4 linked regions of the Cricetulus griseus genome follow. The protein of the gene in region 2 binds, or shares a complex with, the protein of the main gene of each other region. Links are inferred from orthologs where the notes say so. Each region holds a gene or a part of one and is shown on either strand. Other genes may lie near its edges. The genes, in order: Ap3s1, Ap3d1, Arf1 and Ap3m1.

What was found.
Region 1: the proteins of Ap3d1 (region 2) and Ap3s1 are in contact, whole or in part, in a cryo-EM structure (PDB 9C5C), measured with the Homo sapiens proteins. The link is inferred for Cricetulus griseus from reciprocal best matches to the Homo sapiens genes AP3D1 and AP3S1. Residues at the interface, in NP_003929.4 of Homo sapiens: Leu18, Gln19, Val22, Arg26, Cys60, Thr63, Tyr64, Gln66, Met67, Leu68, Gly69, Tyr70, Asp71, Ile72, Ser73, Lys87, Phe88, Thr89, Arg92, Ile93, Leu96, Gln100, His103, Tyr126, Leu132, Thr133, Ser136, Tyr161, Lys164, Lys165; in NP_001275.1 of Homo sapiens: Met1, Lys13, Pro14, Arg15, Leu16, Ser17, Lys18, Phe19, Pro22, Tyr23, Glu25, Asp26, Gln28, Gln29, Arg42, Asp43, Glu44, Asn45, Val46, Cys47, Asn48, Phe49, Ser80, Glu81, Ser82, Glu83, Leu84, Gly85, Leu87, Asp88.
Region 3: the proteins of Ap3d1 (region 2) and Arf1 are in contact, whole or in part, in a cryo-EM structure (PDB 9C5B), measured with the Homo sapiens proteins. The link is inferred for Cricetulus griseus from reciprocal best matches to the Homo sapiens genes AP3D1 and ARF1. Residues at the interface, in NP_003929.4 of Homo sapiens: Lys48, Asp50, Phe77, Ile80, Glu81, Ser84, Asp107, Met110, Leu111, Thr112, Thr113, Asn114, Gln115, Arg117, Lys118; in NP_001019397.1 of Homo sapiens: Tyr35, Ile46, Pro47, Thr48, Ile49, Gly50, Phe51, Asn52, Val53, Glu54, Trp66, Lys73, Ile74, Leu77, His80, Tyr81, Gln83, Asn84.
Region 4: the proteins of Ap3d1 (region 2) and Ap3m1 are in contact, whole or in part, in a cryo-EM structure (PDB 9C5C), measured with the Homo sapiens proteins. The link is inferred for Cricetulus griseus from reciprocal best matches to the Homo sapiens genes AP3D1 and AP3M1. Residues at the interface, in NP_003929.4 of Homo sapiens: Lys29, Glu388, Gly389, Thr390, Thr391, Arg393, Glu429, Arg432; in NP_001307192.1 of Homo sapiens: Ser25, Ser27, Asp30, Tyr31, Glu34, Pro52, Asp104.

Annotation. Positions count from the first base shown.
Region 1 is NC_048595.1:191,305,495-191,310,949, forward strand, and holds part of Ap3s1 (AP-3 complex subunit sigma-1), read right to left. Parts: intron 2,327-5,455; coding exon 2,215-2,326; intron 1-2,214. UniProt on the Homo sapiens protein: Part of the AP-3 complex, an adaptor-related complex which is not clathrin-associated. The complex is associated with the Golgi region as well as more peripheral structures.
Region 2 is NC_048598.1:101,500,039-101,505,493, forward strand, and holds part of Ap3d1 (AP-3 complex subunit delta-1), read right to left. Parts: intron 5,128-5,455; coding exon 5,078-5,127; intron 4,609-5,077; coding exon 4,560-4,608; intron 2,677-4,559; coding exon 2,531-2,676; intron 2,232-2,530; coding exon 1,852-2,231; intron 888-1,851; coding exon 656-887; intron 1-655. UniProt on the Homo sapiens protein: Part of the AP-3 complex, an adaptor-related complex which is not clathrin-associated. The complex is associated with the Golgi region as well as more peripheral structures.
Region 3 is NC_048600.1:73,285,012-73,291,242, forward strand, and holds the start of Arf1 (ADP-ribosylation factor 1), read right to left. Parts: upstream 3,727-6,231; 5' UTR 3,586-3,726; intron 1-3,585. UniProt on the Homo sapiens protein: Small GTPase involved in protein trafficking between different compartments. Modulates vesicle budding and uncoating within the Golgi complex. In its GTP-bound form, triggers the recruitment of coatomer proteins to the Golgi membrane.
Region 4 is NW_023276807.1:199,929,643-199,935,578, reverse strand, and holds the start of Ap3m1 (AP-3 complex subunit mu-1), read right to left. Parts: upstream 3,627-5,936; 5' UTR 3,623-3,626; coding exon 3,590-3,622; intron 3,539-3,589; exon of another isoform or gene 3,275-3,538; intron 1-3,274. UniProt on the Homo sapiens protein: Part of the AP-3 complex, an adaptor-related complex which is not clathrin-associated. The complex is associated with the Golgi region as well as more peripheral structures.

The sequences.
Region 1 (5,455 bases), on a different chromosome or scaffold from region 2:
TGGAGCAAGAGGAAGTGGAAACTACTATAAAAACCCTGGTTCCCCAGCTAGGAGCACAGTGAATGCAGGACTTACAGAACACACAACAGACAGGTAGGTAGATAGCAAGAGCTTGCCAATATTTTCTTCTAACTGCTTCAGTTTTGTTAGTGCTCTAGGAAGTGAGGTCTACCTAGAGTTTTGAGGAAGTGATGTTAGGGTGGAAAAAAAAAAAAAAAAAAAAAAGAACCAGACCACAGAGATAAACTATGTTCAGTGGCCAGCACTAAGGACTTCCTGAGATCAGTGATCTAAAGGGAGCAGCAAATATGACTGTTTTCTACACACTTTCAAACGTATGAGCACAGGCCAGGAATTAGGTGCATAGAAGGCTATGCACTCTTGGACTACACATAGAATCTAAACTGAATAAAGACAAGTGAGACCCAGGTAGGATCAGGGAGAATGAAAACCATGCCAGATGTTAAAACCTGAGGGACCCAGAGTAAGAGAAACAAACATGGAAAAATGTGAAGGTGGCTGAAAGAAGAAACTGAGACTGAACTGACAGGCTGATTTGAGCTTGTATGAAAACACAGTCTACACATGAACAGATAGCTGGAGCAGAAGGCAAACTCTGAAGGATTGTAGTTCCAGTTTTGAAGACATAAGGCTACTGAATGTTGTACATGGGAACACCGAAGTCCCCAAGAACTTTCACACATTCACTCTTGTTCTGAATGCCAGTGAGTAGAAAACAACTCTGAAAAATCTACAGATTTTAGGTTTCTACAATCTTGTGAATAGAGATAATTGCTATCTGTCTTGGACTATCTTTTCAAATCTGTCACACTGACAAACAGCCTGGGAAAAAATAGTGTTTTCCTCCAAAGAAAATGACAAGTTCACCTTTTCCCTTAAAGATAATCTCATCCTTCCCAGAGCAGTCATGATTTACCCATTATATAGAATTTCAGCTCCTTAAGCTTGGGATCCCCCACCTGTGTGATGAGCTACTAGGGTGCAGGCATCACCTGGCTCCTTCACAGCACCCTTCTGAGACTGAGAACTAGTGCAGACAAATGTTAGCATGGTTTGGTGTGTTTTGTGGATAATGCTTTTGTTGTTAGTAATGCAAGAAGTCTTCTGCCCCATCTTCTACAGCCATCCTTTATACTGTAGGTCAGCTTGCAAATGGAGGAAAATCTCAAACCCTTGACAGATGCTGACAAAATCCTGATGACTACAACTAAATATGTAGGAGGAAGACAAGTCTGATAACATGAAATCTAGAGATGTTTTAAAAGAAAATATTCTGGAAGAAACAAATACATCTCTAGATTCAATAATATGAAAAAGCAAACACACATACACACACACACACACACACAATCTGTTACTTGTGAAGGTTGAAGTCAATGACAAAGCAAGACTTAAAGAACTGAAGTAGTATTAACATGTGAGGTTCAAAATATCCATTTTTTGGCCAGGCCGTGGTGTTGCACACCTTTTATCCAAGTACTCAGGAGGCAGAGACAGGCAGATCTTTGTGAGTTTGAGCCCAGCCTGGTCTACAAAGTTAGTTCCAGGACAGTTAGGGCTGCTACACAGAGAAACCATGCCTTGAAAAGCCAAAAAATAAAAACAAAATGTCCATTTTCTTATAACTAACCTTGAGTTCTATGGACATTACAAAAGCTTTTCAGGAGACTAGGAGAGTTAAGTCTTTAGGGTCAGATGAAATTAGTTCTAATTAGTTCTAGTCAGACTAGTTTCTACATCCTTGATATGGATCATGAAGGTACTGTCTTTCTAGGTGAATTAATCCACTTACAAGTTCATAGCTAAACAAGTTATCAGGAGGTGGAACCTAGTTGGAGGAAGGGGGCCACTGGAGGTGATTCTGAAATATTTATCTTGTCCCTGGCCCTTCTGCTTCCCAGGACAGCAGTATTCCTCTGCCATGCTTTTCTACTAGGGTACTGCTTTGCTGTGGACTTAGATGCAATGGGATCAACTGGCAGGATGAAACTTCCAGAACTGTGAACCAAAATAAACCTTTCTTCTAACATGACTTATGTCAGGCAATAGGTCACAGCATACCCACCTCCTATCAACTATGGAACACTTCTTATCAAACAAAACACGTTTTTTTTATAAAGTTTTAAACTTAAGTTTATAAAAATATAATAAAAAAAAAAACTAAAGGTAGCTTAGATGCAACTGTTAACTTACCTGAATTAGATCTAAAATGCCAAGTTCACTTTCTGAGGAATCCACACAGAAGACAAAATATAGTGTTGCATAATGTCTATAAATCAGTTTGTTGTCAGATCCTCCAATTAATCTAAATGACAAAACAATTAAAATGGTGTAGGGACCAAATGCAGACCATTTCATTAGCTCAAGCAAAATTACATTTGTTAAAACCTTTTAGAAAACAAAATGTAACAATGGCATAGCATTCAAGTAAATTTTAGAAGCTAAGTAAATTAAAACAGCAATTTTCTTCAGAAATTACAAGTAAAAAAGCCAGTACTAAATTTTAGTTAGTTATTCACTAAAGTATTTACTGAGTAAGTATGGTGTGTCACTGATAGCAAGTAAAGAGACAAGAAAGTTAACAGGTAGGGGAAGGTGTCACACAGAGAACCAAGACAGGTCTGGCATATCCATGGATTTTGCACTTCAGAATGAACACTGAGAGAGAGAGAAAGAGAGAGAGGGAGAGAGAGAAACATTTAGATTGACATCTAATCATTACGGGTGGGCCACAGAAAAATGAAGAGAGGAGTATCGTGGGGTAAAGTAGCAATGGCTGAAAAGGGCCATTATCAAAACAATATGCACTTTCAAGGAGACAAGAGGCCAGTAGACAAGTATAGATTAGTAAACAATAATGCTGAAGGAACAGGCAAAAAAAACAGATCACAGAGCATGTGCAAGTGCTTACAAGATGTAACTTCATAGGTCACAGTAAAATACACAGCTAGACTGATTATCAGCTAGAAAAAAAAATAAGAGTATTTCTTAAGTTTCAGACAGACTTAGCATTAAGATGCTCTCCAAAAACATTGTTCTTAAATCTAAATGTAAGAACACTGGGCCAATGAATACTCAATTCTTTCATCAAATACTTTTATTCATATTGATTAGAATTCAGCATTTTTAAAAGAATAATTTAGGAATCATCTGAGGCATCTTATATTTCTCCAAATACACTTTAGCTGTATAATAGTCGTTTATAATACCAAATTCACCTTCTCAAGACCACTTCAACATTAACATAATTTAAAACCAGCCTAAATACAATCAAACTAAGGGAGCATTCACAACAATATAGGGTGTGGCATTTTTCTTATTCCATAAATATAACAATAAAATTACAAGCTCTATAGAAACTGCTTCTCTTAAGTACATACTACTTCCTTGTCCCATAAGAGCAAAAACAAATGATCTTGGTGGGGAAAAATGAAGGACTCTTACTATGCTAGGTTACTTGTCTGGAGAGGATTTAATTTAAAAGTCTGTATGTACACTTTAAACATTCTGAGACTGGTTATAACAAAAGTTAAAACTGTTCCCTGAAGGGGCGAAATAAGCAGCAGTTTCACTGTAGGTTGTCTTTTGTTTTGCTTTAAAATATCATGCTTCTGAAAAATGGGTTACAAAGTAGATTAACGCTCAAAGACCTCTGAAAGGCAAGGACATAGTTGGCCTTGAAAACATAAATTCACTTTAAACTAGTCTAATTCTGATACAAATTCTTGTAGGAAATTGTCTTAAGTTAGAGTTTCTATTGCTATGATGAAAAACCAAGCCAGGGAGGAAAGGGTTAACTTGGCTTACATTTCCACATAGAAGTCCTTCACTAAAGGGAGTCATGACAGGAACTCAGGACAGGGCAGGATCCTGGAGGCAGGAACTGATACAGAGGCCATGGAGGAATGCTGCTTACTGGCTTACTTGCTACCCATGACTTGCTCAGCCTGCTTTCTTATAGAAATCAGGACCACAGCCCAGGAACAGCACCACCCAGAGTGTGCTGGGCCTCCCACACTGATCACTAAGAAAAAGCCTTACAGCTAGATCTTATGGAGGCATTTTCTCAATTAAGGCTCTCTCCTCTTTGATGACTCTAGTTTGTGTCAAGTTCACAAAAAAAAAAAACACTAGACAGTATAGAAGTGAAAAACAGCATGTAAAATTTTATAAACAGAAATTTATAATTTTTGATATGTTCTTAGACCTAATATTTCAAGGAGAAATGAACTTCCAAGAGTTTGAACAATCTGGCCAAGGGAACTGGCTAGCCAGGTTCAAAACTACAATGAAGATAGATGGGTAGCATCATCTCTGGCACAGCAGTTGTTTCTCATTTTTTATATGGTTAGGAAAAAATCTCAATTTCAAAGCATAATTTCCATCCAAACAGGGCCCTCTTTATATCACTCTGGTCCTCACCATTCTACCACATGCAACACACTATACGAGGTGAGAAGCTGTGGCAAAGATGACCAGATTCCTACAGAGGTTTAACAGAAGCAGAACAAGTGGCTGCCTTTGTCATTTAGAGTCTGGAGGGGGTTAACACCAAAATCTACAAATCATAAATATGCATTACATATTTTAAGTGCAGCATGATATAACATGTTGAAAATGCAAATAAAGACAAATTCTCTGCTAAAATGCAAATAAACTTTCCACATGATTAAAAAAAAAAAACCATTTGGTCAGACAAAAATGGGTTCTGTTGCCCTGACATTTTTTTTTTTTATAATATGCACCTTACCATTCATGAGGCTTTACTGGTATTTAGTTTTAATTCTCAATGAGACAATATTAAGTATATTAATTATGTAACTGGGGAGGAAGCATTTATGGAAATATTTGGAGGTAAACTGCTTTCAATAGAACCCATTCATTTAAAGTATTTATTTAGAGTTTGGGATGCACCTCAGTAGGAAAGCACCTGCCTCCTATGCACAAAGCCTTGGGTTTAATTCCCAACACAGCAAACAATGAAAAGGAAAAAAGAAAGATTTACAGTATTTGTTTAGTTTGCAAACTAATTTTTTCATTTTAAAAATAGAAACATCCACTGGCTGAATCTATACTAGGGATATATTAGGTAAATAGATAAATTTGAAAAATGGACTATTGACTTTGTTTATAACAAAATAAAGGATACAATCTGAATTTTTACCTTAGGGTGCATTCACCCTAAGAATTTCATCATTAGAAAGAATGATGTTTCAAGTTTTTAAAAAATGTGTTACATTTATTTATTTGTGTATGTGAATATACATATGTCACATGACAATTTTCGGGAATAAGTTCTCTCCTTATACTGTGTAGGTCCTAGAGATCACATTCAGGTCATCAGGGTTAGCAGCCAGCACCTTTACTAGTTAAGTTCCATTTCTCCAGATGTACTTACAGGCAAAATTTTACAAAATATTAAGCAAAAAAGCAA
Region 2 (5,455 bases):
AGTGAGAACCTACGTTACCATGGGGTGCCAGGAGCAGCCTTGCTCACCAGGCCCCACTACCCAGGTGTCAGCCCAGGACCTTGGCCACCTGCTGGGTATGACTCAGTGACAAAGTACATGCCTGAGACACACAGGCAACTGGTTCAAGCACTGTCCCAGAACAAACAAACAAAGGGGTTCACAAACCAACATTCCCAGAAGTAGCAGGGCCTTGCCCACCTCTTAGCCTGGCTCTCAGGCCCATCCACACCACAATCCCTGTTCACACACCCTAAACCTCAGATGGACAGGGCTAGGATAGACTTCAATAACTCCCATCTATTGACTCTGTCTGGAACAAGGACCTAGATGGGGACCAACAGCATCTCCAGACATGGGGGTCCTTGGTAAGTAACACTACCCACCCTGTGAGTCCAGACCCAGCTGGAGGTGTGTGGCAGTAGCTGAGGAATCTTCAGGGGGTACCTTTGTTGGAGGCCCTGCTGCCTGTGAGCTTTGAGGTGTGAGCAGGCCACCCCCCCACTCCAACTTGACACCGTACTAGCCCTGGATGTAGTCACAGGGCATGAGCCATGGCACTATTCACCTTCTCTGACACTGCCCTTTTAAGGTTTAATCTCAACCGTGAGCAAAATCTCCAGCTTGTAGGCCTTACCCGCTCCTGCACCTCCAGGTCGGCACTCTGTACAAACTGCGGCAACCGCTCCACCAGTAGCTGGGTAACCTCCTGTGCAGCCTCAGTGTCGGCAGCCTGCTCCTTCTGCTGCAGGATGGATGCGTACAGCTTTACCACGTTCTGCACATACACAGCCTGAATGTGGCCAGGCAGTGTGGTGACCTTGGGCCGCAGCATGGCCTCCAGGGTTTGCTGGGGTCCCTGTAGGTGCCTGGGGGACAGGGGCTGCATGAGGCTACTGAGCACACTCACAGGCCTATCTCTCAAGGAAGTCAGACCAGAGATGTGGGGGTCTAGGCTTCTCAGCAAAAGCACAAACTTGGGGCACTCACTTTCACTGAGCAGAAGCAGAAAACCAAGAACCATCAATTCCACAAAAAAGGACATGGTTCAAGAAACCATGGCAAATATCTGACAGTCACCAGCAGACACAGATGACCTGTATGGCTCACTTGCTGCCATCAATATTTTTGGTAATGAGCATTTGCCTGATATGAACAAAGTCCTGGGTGCAATTAATTCCCAGCACCACAAAACCAAGGACGCATCAATAAACTTCTCCCAGCATCCATGTGCACTTTGTGGCTGCCTTGCGGGATTCAGAGAGGAGACTCCCCACTGGACCCTCCAAGGAGCACTGATAGGCAGCTCCTGTGGGCTGACTCTAAGGCAATGGGAGGTGCTAAGGAAATGTTGTTACTTTCCCAGTAGATTTCTTTGACAGCCTGGATATTTAACAACAAATCCACATCTGCTCTGGGTCACCGCTGTCGTGTCCTTTAAGCCAGGTATACCAGGGGGCATGGAGTGCTACAGCCATCCCAGTCCACCCACCCACATGCTCCTGGAGCCTGGCATGAGGGCACAGCAGCTGCCCTATGGAGCTCTACCAGGGCAATCTCCGGGCTGGTGGGAGCAGGCCTATCACCACTGTATGGTGAGGCCTGGCTCTGAGGGTGGCAGCTTGCCCAGCTAGGATGACTCTTGAAGCAGAACAGATCTATGAACTAGAGGGCACCCTCTTCACAGCCATGTGACCCCACACCATGAAGGGACAGTCAGTCACTTGGGTGGGGCCACCCAGTAGTAACCAACCATCTTTCAGGCAGAGGGTCTGCCCACATGTCCCCCCACCAGGCCACAGTGGGCCACTTCTAAGGGCTGCACCAACTCACTCCGAGAACTCCCCGCAGATCCAGGCAGCAGCGTAGAGCACCTCACAAATGCCATTGCGCTGGGTGCTGCTGGCCACCAGGTGGGCACTGTCAAGCAGTGCAGACATCTGAGACACAGCAAATTTGCGAATGGCCTTGACGCGGATGGCCACATCCAGCATCTGTGCAGCGATGAGATGGCCGTGGCGGGTACCCTCCAGGCGTGTCAGCTCCACAAGGATGCTGATATACCACTCAAAGTTGGTGATGTGCTGGTAGTTGGACTGGCTGCAGATGTCAATGATCTTGGTAAGCAGCTCATCACGATAGGTGGTGCCCTCAGCCTTATCCACATGGGTCATCAGCTTCTTCACGATCTCCATCAGATTCTTCTTGGACACCTGTGGGGGCAGAGCTGGTTGGTCAGCACAGGTGGATATGTTCAGCCATGAGATGATAGCTGAGATTGAGCTCGTAAGCCCAGGAGGGACAGGTTCTTCCACAGACAGCAGAAGTCACACTGGGTACATTAGTCAGCTTATCATGCATGTCTGACCAAGGGAAGGTGACAGAGGCCCCATTCCCTACAGTAGGACAGGTGCCATCTGCTGACCCCAGTGGCTCAGGCTGCTGTCCCAGCCTGCAGAAGAGTGACTCAGAAGCTTCGAAGGCTCCCCATTCTGGGAACAGGAACACATACCATTCCATAGAGCAGGTCAAGAGCGCGCAGGCGGATAGACTCGTCCTTGTCATCCAGGCATTGCAGGATCAGGTCCTTGTGAGACTGCACGGACTTGGGGTGTGTCTTCAGGATTTTAGACATGGCCAGAAGCCCCAGGTACTTTACTGTGGAGACCAAGTGGCCATTAGTTTGCAGACAGAGTGGAATACCATGGCCAATGGGTGCAATAGGGGAATGTATCGCCACTTCCACCCAGATGGTGTTGCCTGCAGGTGATGGCCGCTTTTGTTATGCCCGCCACCCCAAGAAGCCAAAGTGGAAGCCGTGTCACAGCACGGTCCACAGGCACAGTCCTCTAGGCATAAGGACAAGGCAGGCTCTGAGTCTGGTTCCCAGCACCCACACTGGGTAGCTCTGACTGTAGCTCCAGCTCCAGGATATCAGGTGCCTCCATTTCCACAGGCACTGGCTTTTCCAAGCACAGACCCACACATGAACACATACTTAAGAATGAAAAAACTTATGAAGAATTTGAAAATATGTATATTAAAAAAGAACCCTGCTGGGCTGGGTAGTGGTGCAGGCCGGCATTTGGTGACACACATCTTTAATCCCAGCACTTAGGAGGTAGAGGCAGGAGGATCTCTGTGAGTTCGAGGCCAGCCTGAGTTCCAGGACAGTCAGGGTTACACAGAGAAACCTTGTCTGTGTAACAAAACAAAACAAAACAAAACAAAACAAAACAAAAAAACATAAAACACACAAACAAAACAAAAAACAAAAAAAACCTCAAACAAAACAACAAAGGCATGATGCCTCATGCCTTTAATCCCAGCAAGTTCCAAGACAGCCAGGAGAATACAAAGAAACACAGTCTTGAAAAGCAAAACAAAAGTCAAAAAAAACCCAAACAAGAACCCCAATGATGGTGTGAGGACCTTGCCCACATGTTCTAAAGGTCACTGCTAGAGAAATGATAGAGGCTGCTAGCCCAGTGCAGGGAGAGGCTGCAGAAAAAGCACAGACGACAGCTCTACACTCAGAAGCCTCCTTTGTTACAGATGGCCTAGAGATGCTTTCCAACAGCACTGACTTGAGAACTGCTGAGACCCTGTGGTCTACGCTGAGGGTGGGGAAGTAAGGACTGGACTACAGCAGACACTGGAGGCTCAACCTGCCATCTGGTCTGGGTACAGTAGATGCCACTGACATGGACCCCATTTTGGAGCAGTGTGAGATACAAGGAAGGCAGCAGCAGGTCACTGCATGCTTCCCTGAGGACCAGGCAGATGCTAGCCAGAGGCCTCTGGACCTGAACCCTGGCTCTCCCCCTCCCCCTCTCAAGTGCTACAATAACAGGTGTGTACCCGCATACTATGCCTCCCTTTCCTTCAAATGAAAAACAATCACATTTATTTGTTTGGGATGTGCGTCAAGATCAGAAGACCATTTGTAGGAGTCATTTCTCTTCCCACCACATGGGATCAGGGAAGGAGTCAGGGCATCCATCAGGATGGTGACAAACCCCTTTATCTACTGAGCCATCTCACCAGCCCTCTTGTTTTATTTTCAGATGGGTCATGCTGTGGAACCAGGCTGGCCCTGAACTCCTGACTCTCCTGCCTCAGCCTCCTGCTTGCTAAAATGCAGCTGTGGCCTCAGGCACAGACCTTACAGTATTTACTTTATTTCTGAGACAAGCTTTGAACTCATTAGGGAGCTAAACATGACCTTGAAGCCTGTGGCCCACACCTGGTTTCTGAGTGCAGGTAGGTCTGGGACCTAAGGTCTGGCACACTAGTGTGCTCAAGCAACTAAGCTTGAGCCTCCTAAATCATCTTCATGTTTGGTGTCTCCACATTGCTCAGCACAGATCCCATCTTTCAGGGTGCCTCCCCCCCATGGTGACAGCCAGCACTCAACCCACAAAACCATCATGCTGGAAAGCATAAGGACAGCAAAAGGGCAGAGGGCCCCCAGGTACGGGGTTTACGAATCCCAGGCATGGTGTTCAAGTGTGGCTGCTTGGTAGGTGGCGGTGACTTACAGTTCTGGTCTGAGTCTTCTATCAATATCCTCAACTTCTGAACGCAGAGCTGAGGAGGAATGTCACAATGATCATGTCTTCCCAGGCAGGACTCAAGTTGATCTCCATCCACCCCACCACCATGCCCTGCAGCCTGCTACCAGCCCTGACCAAAGGCATGCATCTGGGTACAGGCAGGGCAGGTGACTGCTGCCTTCTCACTGGGGGCCCTGATCAGTATGACAGAATGGATCTGCAGGTGCCAGTGAGGGCAAGTGGGGGCATCCCATGTTCAGAGCAGCTGCCCAGGCACACTGCATTTGGTCCCCAAAGGGCAGGTGGAGGTGCATTGGGGAAAGGGAAAGGAGTGCCTAAGGAGGGTTGGGCTAGAGGACTTCCTTTATATTTCAGCTGTGGGAGAAAAACGAACTTGGAGGTAATCACAATGGTTTCCCAACTGGCTGAGGAGCCCTGGGGCCTGGCCACCCGTAAGACCCAGTTTTGCTGATCTGTGTGGGCCCTGTCTTTGAGAGACGCACCTGGATGCTGGCACTGTGGTTGGGCATGCCGGACGACAGCGAGATGAGCACTGGGACACATGAGGATGAGTTTAGTGCCTTGCGTCAGACACTGACACCCTACTAACCCATCCCCACCACCAGGGGCCTAGCTGCCTGGCTCACAGGAGGCCCGACATGACTGTGTTTCAGAAGGCAGCTGGACCAGCTGGGCCATGGGGAGCCAGGGGATCTGGCCTGGTTCTTCCACCCTCCCAAACAGGAGTAGCTCTTGGGCCTGAAGTACTGTTACCTAAGACAGGCTCACATACAGTCCCTGTTCCTCTCTGGGGTCTGGGATGCAGACCTATGCTGGGCAGAGCAGCCCCTGAGACCTCACAGAAACCCTGAGTAGGGATG
Region 3 (6,231 bases), on a different chromosome or scaffold from region 2:
TAAATATAAGCTCCTGGAATCAAACAAGAAAGAAGAGCATTCTTATCTACAGAACAGGAAGCTCCAGAGGAACACACACTGCAGGCCATCTAGCTCTGCCTTCATTCTCATTCTTCAGCAATGACTCTCACTAAAATCTAGAAACCCTTTTCAACCCTTTTCTTGGAAACAAGCACCTAAATCATACCAACAGAATTTTAAAAAGGGGGTGGAGAGGAAGAAAGAAAGAAAAACTTGTCAGAGGACACATAGAGAATCTGGGCCACAAACTTCCCTGTTTCAGTATAAGCCATTGCAAAAATATTTTGACAACTGATACTGACAAAAAGTTATTGTTTAACATACAGCCATCAAGCACAAGGAGCCTGTTGGAAAGAACTAGTTTGCTAGCATCCCTTTAACATGTATACTTACCTCTATAGATACTGATTAAGAAAGTTTCCTTAATAACCAAGTCTCACTCATGCTATACTGCAGTAATTCTCAGATCCTCAGAAATATGGGGAGCTGTTTACCACATAAACTTAATCACCCCCAACTGCTGTCTATAAAAATATGCCTGCCTAGCATGGGGGCACACACCTGTAATCCCAGCAGGCTGTAATCTCTAGAGGCTGGGGCAGGAGTTTAGGGCAAACCTGTACTACAAACTACACAGTCAAACTCTTCCCCATAAACAGCCTATGTTCCTATTTTCTATCAATTCCTCTTACTACTGAAAACGTTCCCTATATCAGGGCCTGCAGGGAGTGCCACTCTTCCTAGTATATTGGCTACTGACAGGCAGCCAAGCCCTGTTACCAATGTGAGTAAAAATTTCAGGGAACAGGACCAGATAAGAATATTGTGGAAGATGGGCCCTAATTAGTATCATCACTTCTTTGTATATGTAGTAGGACAGGGTGGTGAACACCTAAAAGGTCCTACACTAACAAGTAACACCACAAGCTATTACCTGCAATCTGTATCACAATCAATATTGAACATAAACCTCAGTGTGTAGTGAGAAATCCCAATGCGTGTATATGTGTACACACACACACACACAAACACACACACACAGAGAGAGAGAGAGAGAGAGAGAGAGAGAGAGAGAGAGAGAGACAGAGAGACAGAGAGACAGGGGAGATACAGCATACACACAAAAGGAATTTTCATGTTTCTCTCCTCACCATCACTGACAATTTCATGAAGATCAAAAGTCAAAGGGATTCATGAGAGAAAATAGGGATGGACAGACAGACAGACCATGAATGACATAGCAAACTAGAGCAGGCAGGGGTCTGTTGGGCTCCTCAGTGCAAATGACACACATAGACAGCCCTTGTGATTAACAGTAGATTTAAACCTGTACATCAAGCTGAGCAGTGATGGCTTAGGCCTTTAATCCTAGCACTAGGGAGGCAGAGGCAAGCAGATCTCAGAGTTTGAGGCCAGCCTGGTCTACAGAGAGAGAGAGTTCCAAGACAGCCAGGGCTACACAGAGAAACCTTGTCTCAAAATAAAAAAACCCTGCACATTAATGTAACACTTAATTCAAGGAATCTGAAAAACATTGACCCAATACTCTCAAACCATTGTTGACAAGCTATTGCATGAACCTGCACAACAAGTTTTTTCTCTTGGTTAGGTTGCCTGACACTGGGTCGTCACCACAGTAACTGCTGGTCTAAGTTACCTTTACCTTAAAAAAAGAAAAAAATAAATAAAAGGTTGTAGTTTGAATCCTGCCTGGTCCTGGGCTGAGGCAACAACCAAAATGGAACAAAGATCCTCTCTACAAGGAATTACTGTTCAAGAGGTATAGTGGACATCTCAGCTACATGACTTATAACTGTAAATGAGGGGCACAGAACTAGCTATTGCTACCTTCCTTCCAGGATAAGTAGACTGAGTATGAGTCAGCTGTTATTCACAGTTAAACCTTGTGTGTGCAGTGCTAGAGAGCCAAACCATTTATACAAGCTAGGAAAAGCACTCTACCCCTAGCTCTTAAACCTTTCTGAAGTAGCAACTCTACATCTGCCTCACAAGCAAGACAACAGTGTGGTGAACCAGTGAGTCAGACTCATTTTCAACAAGATACCTAGGGATGAAAGCGATAGACATTCCATCAAGAGAAACCTTCATGCCAAGGAGACAATGTAGTTACAACAATGTAGCTCACAAATCTGTGACTGGCCCTTACACCACACAGCTCACAACTCTGGAGAAAACAGAGAAGTCAGAGAGTAACACTCTTCATCAAATCTCACAGTCCAGGCTATGTGAGACAGTGCTGCTGAAAGCTCAAAGGTGAGGACATTACAGGCAGTCACCCATGTCAGGTACTGTAGACACTGGTTAAGACAGAGAAAGGACATGGAGTCAGCACCCAAAGCACCATGGCATCTCACTAGTCTTCTGTTCTACACTCACTGCAGACTCAGCCTGCAGGAAAAACTGCTGACCACTAGTTGTGAAACAAGAACTACAACGGACTACTCCAACATTGGTTGTGGCATCAACTACTGGGCTCTCTGGTGCCTTCTGGGAACAGGAGCAGCTGCCCCTTTCTTTTCCAGCAAAACAGCCACTTGCTGGAAGGGAGAATCCCTCCCACTTAGGTACCATGCAACGGTTCAGCTACATACAGTCCGACACGGCATGGCCACCCTGACTGGACAGCCAGAACTGTACACTGGATCTGGCCTCTTGTTACAAGCAGATTGCTCAGAACCTGGGAGCAGGTTGTTCCACGGCCAGGTTAAAGATTCCCCAACTCAGAAGGGCCTTTCTAATCCACCCAAAGGAGCATCAAGGGGGTCAGTCAAGAGGTAAAACAAGGCTCAACTCCTGCAGAGGCCACCGGGCCCTTGAGTGCAAACCTCAATGAAGATCTCACCAGAAAAGTGTGGGGCACAAATCACGGCTCACTAGGGATCAGAGTGGGCACTTGGGATCCACTGAAATCCGCATATGCGCTTGTTAAATCCAAGCACCCGGTTCAGCAGTCCGGAGCCCCGCTCCACCGGTCCCAGCCCTTCACCTCCTACAGCTCCGGTCCTCCGGGCCGACAGGAACCGGACTCGAGACACAGAGGAGGAAGACCTCGCCACCCGAGTGACCTTGACGCCGTCTGAGGGCCACCCAAGCCTCAGTTTCCCCTACCCCAAGGTCCGTGCCGTATCTGAAGCTTCCGGCTAGCCCTTCTAGAAGGGAGACCCCCCCCCGTACCCCTCGAGCCCTGCTCCCCGTTCCCGAGCTCCCGGGCCGTGGAACCTAGGAGAGGCGCAGAGAGGAACAGCAGGAAACCTGGCTTCCTGGAATGGAGCCGGCGTCCCGGCCGGACTTCCGGGCTGCGGCCCGCGGCTGGCGGCCAGGCGTATGGGCCGCGGAGTGGGGGAGGGCCAAGCGGCCGTGGGCGACGCGGGACTGGGGGAGCCCCGATCCACTGCCCGGCCTGCCGTCAGGTCCGCTAGACAGAGATCCCGGCCCGCCCGACCAGACTCGGCCCTTAGAAGCTTGAACCGAGCGCCCCTCGACGCCCACGATGACCAGCCCGTGGCCTCCCCAGCTTCAGCCCCAACGCGCCCAGCGCCTCACCTCCGCGGCGGCTGCTCCCAGCCAGGCGTTGGTTTCGCTCCCACAAGATGGCGGCGCTGACGGCAGCCACGTCAGCGCCTGCCGCGGGGCACGCCGGGGGAAGAGGGCGGGCACGCCTGAGGCCCCGCCCCTAGATGAATGGCGCTTGCGCGTCTGCACCAAGTAGCCTTCACGGGGCGGGGCCAAAGTCGCTCTGCTTCCGGATCGCGGCCCCGGGCTAGCACACACCGGTTTCCCCGGACTAGAACGCACAAGGGTGTGGTGGGTGGATTTCCGTGTCCATCGACGCGTGCGCACGCGCGCCTTCCTGCGGAATTCCTGCCCATTCCTCGGATGCGGGGGTTGAGGACAGTAAGCGTTCTAGAGCGCCAAGGTCAGAGTGGGAAGGTCGTGTCAGCACTGAGGGGGTGTGATGTTCCTCTCAGAGGTATATTCCAGCTGGCCCTGGGCACTGAAGATAATGATATCACTGACAAGTAGCCAGAGCGGAAAGAGGCGCAGACCAAGTGTCAGATAGGTACCGTGCCCCTACGCTAGCCTTGGCCCTGTGTGCACTCTCAGAGCTGACCCAAAGACTTGTGTGGAGTTAGCACCGCCTGAGAGGGTACTCTAGGTTGCCCCTGATGGGGTGGCCTCCTGAAGGGTGCAGGAGAGGAGGAACCTGTTACATCTCCCTGAGAAGCCTTCCCTGCCTGGTCAGAAGCAGCAGAAATCTGCTTGCCTCCCCATCTATGCAGGAATCAGACCCACGCTCTGTCAGGCCTGTCCAGTTCTTCCACCTCATTTATTGTGAGGAATCCCACAGGCAAGAGATGTTGAGGGACCTAGGGCATTTAAAAAAAAAAAAAAAAAAAAAACCTGGAGCCCTATCTGTTGAATTGGCAGGAGGCACTTCTGTTACATGGGCCTAGATTAATCAATCACACTGTGTCCAGGCATCCTCGCTGTTGTTTGGGGGGTTGAGACCTCCAGAGCTTTCTCTTAAGAGTTGTGGGTGCTAAACTTGTCAGGGTTCTAGGAAATGGTCACCTTCTTGATGCGGTTTCTCTGCATACCCCTGCCTGGCCTTGAACTTAAAGATCCACCTGCCTCTGCCTCCCAAGTGTGGGGACTAAAGGCGTGTGCCACCACTACCGCCTGGCTTTAGACCTCCGGTTTTTAAGTACCACTTCTGTAAGTTTCTATGGAGATAACTGCCTGATCTCCCACCCTCAACACACAGCAAGTATTCATGCAAAGCCTTGGGTGGTGCTAGCTCTTCATTCCCTGGAAAAATGGCAGGACATACCCAGAGGCCTGTGATCCCAGCCATATAAGAAGCCTGTCACAGCCACTTTATAGATGAGAAGACAAAGATACAGAGTGTCAAGGAAAACTACAGATTACTAATCAAGAACAAACCCTTTCTGTTCCTAAAAAGATAAAATTGTGGCAAAATAGATAGGGTGGTAGTCCATCCATTTATCCTAACCTGGCAACTGTACATTCATGCCCCAAAACTCACTATACCCTGTAAATAATTATTTGTGTCCATTAAAAACTTAAATAGCCATTATGGATACTTAATAATGTTCAATGGATGATAGGTTCTTCCCACCTCCCCAGGTCGGGTTTAAACCTCCAGTGAAATTTTCATATTGCACATAAACTTTGAGTGTTGAATCATATATCCAGTTCCAGTGGATCTGACTCCCTCTTCTGGCATCCTTAGGCAACAGGCACTCTTGTGGTATACATACATATTTGTAGGCACTCACATACATAAATAAAATAAATAAATCCAAACTGGAGTTACAGGTGTTTATGAGTTGCCATTTGTATTCTGGGAACCAAACTCAAGGCCTCTACAAGAGCATCAAATAGTCTTATGCACAGAACCATCTCTCCATCCCGAAGTGTATATTAAAAAGGGAATTGGACAACTGAGCTGAAGAGATGGCTCAGCCCTTAAGAGGACATACTTCTCTCACAAAGTACCCAAGTTCCTTTCCCAACTCCCAACTGCCTATAACTCCATTTCTGGGGGATCTGATGCTTCTGACCTCCACAATCATCTGCACTTACACACACATACAATTAAAAAGTATCTTTTAAAAATTGTAACACAGGGGGTCTGGAGAGATAGCTCAGTGGTTAAGAGCACTGCCTGCTCTTCCAAAGGTCCTGAGTTCAATTCCCAGCACATGGTGGCTCACAACCATCTGTAATGAGATTTGGTGCCCTCTTCTGGCCTGCAGGCATACATGCAGGCGGAACACTGTACACATAATAAATAAATCCTTTAAAAAATTGTAAAACGAATAATAAAAGACCCAGTTACAGATATTGAGATTCAAGCTGAAGATCAGAAAAGAAAAGCAGCCAGCCACTAGCTCTTACTCTACCTAGGACTGAAATGGGTGATCCTGTCTCCACGAATCCTCAGAGTGTAACGCAGACTGCACTGCTCTCCACCAAGCTTCAGACTGAAATCCTTTGAGTTCCTGTCTCCTCCTGCCTTATATTCCTTTCTCTGCCCAGCCACATCACTCCTGTCTCTACATCCCTAGTGCTGGGATTAAAGGTGTGTGATCCCAAGTGCTGAGATCACCTTTGTGTGAGCTGTTTTCTCTTTTAGACTAAATCAATTTCATGTAGCTCAGTGTA
Region 4 (5,936 bases), on a different chromosome or scaffold from region 2:
CCCAATTTTATTTTTTATTTTGAGGGGAAATATTCAAATCTGATTTACATTTCTAGAGAGATTAAGCTAAGTACACTATGGAAATTGAGTTACAAGGCACTGACTTATGTAACACCAGTTAAGATGTGTGATAGTGGGGCTGAATGACTTGCCAGTTCAGAGAACTGGCAGCCCTTCCAGAGGCTCAAGGTTTGACTCCCAGCACCCTTACAACTAGTGGTTCTCAATCCTCCTAATGCTGCCACCCCTTAAAACACATGTTGTGGTAACCCCAATCATAAAATTATTTTTGTTGTTACTTCATAACTGTAATTTTGCTACTGTTATGAATCATAATGTAAAGATGTGTTTTCCAATGGTCTTAGACCACCTCCCCCAAAGGGGTGGCAACTCACAGGTTGAGAACCACTGTCTGTTACTCTAGTCCCCAGGGGTTCAATGTCCTCTTCTGGACTTTACAGGCATTGTACTCACATGGTGTACTATATAAATGCATACATAGCATATGTATCACACACACACACACACACACACACACACACACACACACACACACACGAGATGAGCAACAGTAGGGGCCTGGACTAAAAGGTTCACAAGATGGAGTAAAATGAAAAAGAAAAAACAAACAAACAAACAAAAAAAACCAAAAAACGAACAGGCTTTGAGCAAAAATGTATTTAAGTTTGGCTATGTTGTGTAGAAATAAGATGAAATCTGATGTATTAAGACCTAGCCATACATAAATTTGACCCAATTCATAATATATTTGATTCAAATAAGTATATTATTCAATCACTGGATGGTGCTTCAAAAAGACTGGTATGTTGTTAATGGGAATTACAAATATAAGGATTATATACAAAGAAATTATGCACATAGTAAGAAACACACACAAAAGCAAAAACAGTATTTGAGTAGCATGTGAGTCAAGGAAGTGGAACTAAAAACAGACTAAGATGTAGTTGAAGCGGGGAAGAGTTGTGGGAGATTTAGAGTAATTAAAGTATGGTAATGCATTTCCAGAAGAATGGGAGAAAGAGAAGGTACAGAAGACTTAGACTCTGGCTGGGTGTGGTGCCCCACACCTTTACTCCCAACACTCAGGAGGCAGAGAAGGGCCTTGTCTACAAAGTGAGTTCCAGGGTTACACAGAGAAACCACATCTTGGAAATGTCTTGAAAGAAAAAAAATCCTCAGATTCAATTCCTAGCACTACCACCTATGTCAGGCAGAGCCTAACCCCAGCTCCAGGGGATCCATTGTTCTTGATATCCACGGACACTGTACTCATGAGCACATACCCACATGCAAATACACACACAATGAAAAGTAATAAAGATAAATCTCAAAAAAAGTTTTACAATTTTCTTTTCCCTACCAAGGATCTTTTAAAAGTCTAATCTCTTACCCCTCAGTCAGTCACACAGCTCCCTACAAATTGAAGATTTTTTTCATGAATTTAAATGTGTAGTCAAGTGTTGGTTTGTGCATGTAAGTGCAGTGCCCAAGAAGGCCAGTAGATCTCCTGAAGTTGGAGGCACAGTAGAGTAGGATTAAAAACAGTCACTGCTTTTGCAGAGGACCAGAGTTGGGTTCCCAGCACCCATCCTAGGCAGCTCACAACCCATTTTTTTTTTAATTCTAATTTTGTTTTTATGTGTATGCACTTCTGTGAGTATATGCCATGAGAGTTCAGGTGTCTGCAGAGGCCAGAATAGTACATCAGATCCCCTGTTGTTATAGGTGGTTGTGAGTCATCCAATGTGGGTGATAGGAACTGAACTCTACAAGTTCTCTTAATTACTGAGCCATCTCTTCAGCATCATCTTCCAACTCCTGTCACACAAATTTAGAAAAAAATAATATTGTAGTCTCATGCATGAAAAAGTTTTGGTGCCTCACCAAGTAGGTTTTTAAATTTTCTTTAAATTTTTATATGTACAGGTGTTTTGTTTGCATGCATATCTGTGCACTGTGCGTGCGTGCAGTGCCCAAGAAGGCCAAAAGGGTCAGATCCTCTGGGAATGGAGTTACAGATAACTGTTGGCCACAGAGTGCTGGAAATTGAATTTAGGTCCTCTGAAAGTGCAGCCAACTCTCTTAACTGGTGAGCCATCTCTCCTGATTCAAAAAGTAGTATTTTTTGTTTGTTTTTTTTAATCCACACCAAGAATATACGGTTTAAGGCCAAGCGTACATCGGCAATCTTGGTTGAGGTAATTTTAGGGGTAGCTCTGTAGACTGTTGGAAAGGAGACATTGCAGTGTGGTGTTTAGATAGAAGTGGCAAGTAGGTAAAAACAAAGGAGACTGAGATAGCTCATCAGGAAAGAGTGTCTGCTGCCAAGCCCAAGGCCCTGAGTTTGAGTCCCAAGCATCTCATGAAGGAGAGAAGCCAGTCCCAAGAGTTGTCCTCTGACTTCTACATGTTTACTGTGGCATTTAACACACATACAACAAACATAAATGAAAAAAATTTGAAAGAAGGACACTGAGAAGCAGCAGATAATAGCACTGGTAAAATAGGTGAAAGAACTTGTCCTCTCTGAGGAAAAGGGACATTTCCTTCTTTCAATAGAAAGTTAGATTTGTATATTTGGCTGCAAGAAATTCCCTTTTCCTGTGTACTGTGTTTCCAAGTCAAAATCCCAAGTGTTGCAAAACAAACAAACAAAAGAAAAAAAAAAAAAACCACAACCATTTCTTTTCCTTTGAGAAGGCCGGATTTTTACAGTGACCAACTTCTCAACCATGAAGTTAAAGCTTCAGGATCAAACAAATCCACGACTGACAATAAGCCCACCACTCATTACGTTTCCATCTTCCCAGTTTACAGCCCTGTCATCTATCTCACGAGAAGCTGCAACACCCTTCTTACGGTTTTCCCATCCCGGGTTCGCTCACCCAGATGCCACCCTCTAAACAGGACGTTCTTTTAGACTCAGCAGAAGCTTTGCCCTCCAAGGCCAAATCTGGGGGCTGGTGAATTCAAGTCATCGGTATTCCACCTCACTGTAGATAACAAGACCTTTTCCCCCTGCGCCTGGGGTCCAGGGTTCGAGAACCCTACTTGGCAGGTGTGCCGCTCCCTTCCGGCCCAGCTGGCTAGAAAGCCCGGAAGGCCGGGCGTAAGGAGGCCCGGCCCTGGCCCTGGCCGACAGTAGCAGGGACGCCGCTGAAGCCCAGGCTAGTGCCCTGAGCTTGAGCTATGCAGTCTACTCCCCAGCTTTTGAGCGGTCTCCAGCCCGCAGACTCCCCGCCCTCACACTCACCCCGACACCTGGGCGAGTCAGTGATTCGGTGCCGGGTCCTCTCTGGACCGAAGCTGAAGCAGCAGAGAAAGCAGCGAGGACCCCGTGTTCGGGGTGCCCAACAGATTGCCTGACTAGCAGCCTCAGAGACGCCAAGGAGGGCCGCAGGACTAGGAAGATAAAATGGGCGGAAAGGCGTTCAGTGAGAGGAACAATGTCTCCCGAGGTTGAGGATCTGAATCTTCTGCGTTGCTCGAGGTCTGGAAGAACGGGGAGGTTGGCACTCCCTGAGCGCAGGCGCTCACCAGCAGCCTAACTCTGTTTGGGGACCCTTACCGTAGTATTCGAGGCCCTGGATGGACGGGACATCAGATACGCGCAGAGCCAATGGTTATGGACTAGAGAGTCACGGATTGGGCGGGGCTAAAAGGGGCGGGGCTTAGGATAAGGGGCGGTGACGAGTAGAGGGGGCGGAGCCACAGGGCTGAGGGGCGGGACGCGCGATAGTGCCAAACTAGGGTGAGAGTGCGAAGATGGCAGCTGCTGAGGAGCCAAAGCCCAAAAAGCTGAAGGTGGAAGCGCCACAAGCGCTGAGGTGAGAGCCGCCAACGTGGGGAGGAGGGAGACGGCATTTGCGGCGAGCCAAGGCCCACGTGGGCTGGCGCTGCTGCGTGGTGTTTGCGTTCGTGGGGCCAACACGCGGGACCTGCAGCTCGGGGAGTTGCCCTCGTGGCTGCACATTGACCCCTTGGTTTGAACCGTGCTCAGGTGCTTTCCCGGCCCTGGCAGCCATTGACCAATCAGAGCGGCCGGTCCGGGGGCCGAGCCTACCGCTGGCGCCACGTGCGAGTCCTCGCGGGCCGCTCTAGCGCGACCCCAAAGGACTCGTCTGGAGCTGCATCCTGGCCTGGGGTATAGCGGGAAGGAGTCCAGTGCCCCCTGGACCCTGGTGAAAGATAAAATTCTTGGGGTTTTTCGGAAGGCATTGCGGAGGAGTGTTTTCGACCTTCTTTTGGTCACCTCTCTGAAATCATCTTCGGAGACCCCACCCCCCCAAACCGGGACCACAATCCGACTCAGAGACTTTGGCTAGGATAGCATTTGGCTAAATGTTTAGGAAAGTTTTTGTTTGCTTTTCTTTGCATATTTGGCAACAGTGGAGAAAGCGCTCTCCCAACACCTGACACACATGTAATTGATGTTGCAAGTTTCACTTATAAAAAGCCGTTTATGTTAAAAAGCATTTCTTCCTAATAAGTCTAGCGTGTGCAACCTTTGATGCCTTTGAATTGCTCATTGGAAGGCAGTGATTTTTTTCAACCTAAAAATAGACACATCAAGCTGATTTAAAACTGTGAGGCTATTACTGAGACAGATCCCATTTATTTCAACATATCTTTTCCATTCAAAAGAATAATTTGTTCACAGTTGAAAAGAAAAGGTTAGGTAGGGACCTTATATCATGCTCTTGGTGAAATGGGTGATGACCAAATCCTTTCCAGTGGCTTTAAAGTATGGTTACTCTAAAATTCTTAGAGGGTTTTTGTGCGCAAAAACTCTGAGGTTGTTTTATTTTAAATTTTAGATTATCTGTGCCTGTGGGATGGCTCAGTAGATAAGAGTCATTGGCTGCCAAGTCCGATGACCTGAGTTCAGACTCCAGGACCCACGTGCTGGACTTCCGTTGTTCTCTGACCTTCACATGTGGTCCCGCCCCCATTATGTAAATACTGTCTCTTTAGATTTTCTTTTAAAAAGGCAATACTTTATAGATAATAATGATTCATTTTAACAATGCTTACCATCTGTAGTAATGATAAAAAGAAGCTTCTATGAAAGAACGGCAGGGATTATTCATAGTTTACAGGTGAGAATATTGAAGTTCAATTAAGGAAGGGAAATTGGAACCCAGGGTATCAGGATGCAAGTTTATTATTTGATTATAGTGTGTTTACACAATATTTGAGAAATACCTCTGTTTGCTTATGTATGGTTTTTTTTTGTTTGTTTGTTTTGTTTTTTGAGACAGGGTTTCTCTGTATTGCTTAGGAGCCTTTCCTGGAACTCTCTCTGTAGACCAGGCTGGCTTCAAACTCACAGAGATCTGCCTGCCTCTGCCTTCCGTGTGCTGGGATTAAAGGCGTGGGACACCATCGCCCGGCCTATGTATCTTTAAAAAGGTTCTATGGTAATGTTTAACACTTAAATATGTATATGCTAGTTTCTGTTTCTGCATTCTACATCTTTCAACTCAATACCATAACAACCCAATAAAATCATTTCTATTATTATCTCAATTTATCCAAAAAAGGAAACAGGCACATATCTGTCCTTTGTATCTATTTAAAACTTGTAAATAATCTAGATGAATACAGTTCATTTTACTTAATACTAACTCAGTGCCATCTGCAGAGGTGAAGTTAAAAGATTAGGTATTTTGACTATGGGAACAAATCTTGAGTTTTATGCAGAGACTTCTGCAATTGATTTCCTACTTTTATTATACTGTATTAGTTTACCTTTCAGGATTGAGTATGATAATACATTTAGGGTGAATTACTCTATGATTTGCCTGGCCGTTAAGGGTTCTCACCAATTTTAACTTTTAAGGAAAACGGCTTGTAAATTATTAGCACAATTTAATGTATAGAATAAGTCACTGGGGAACAAGTAAATTAACGGA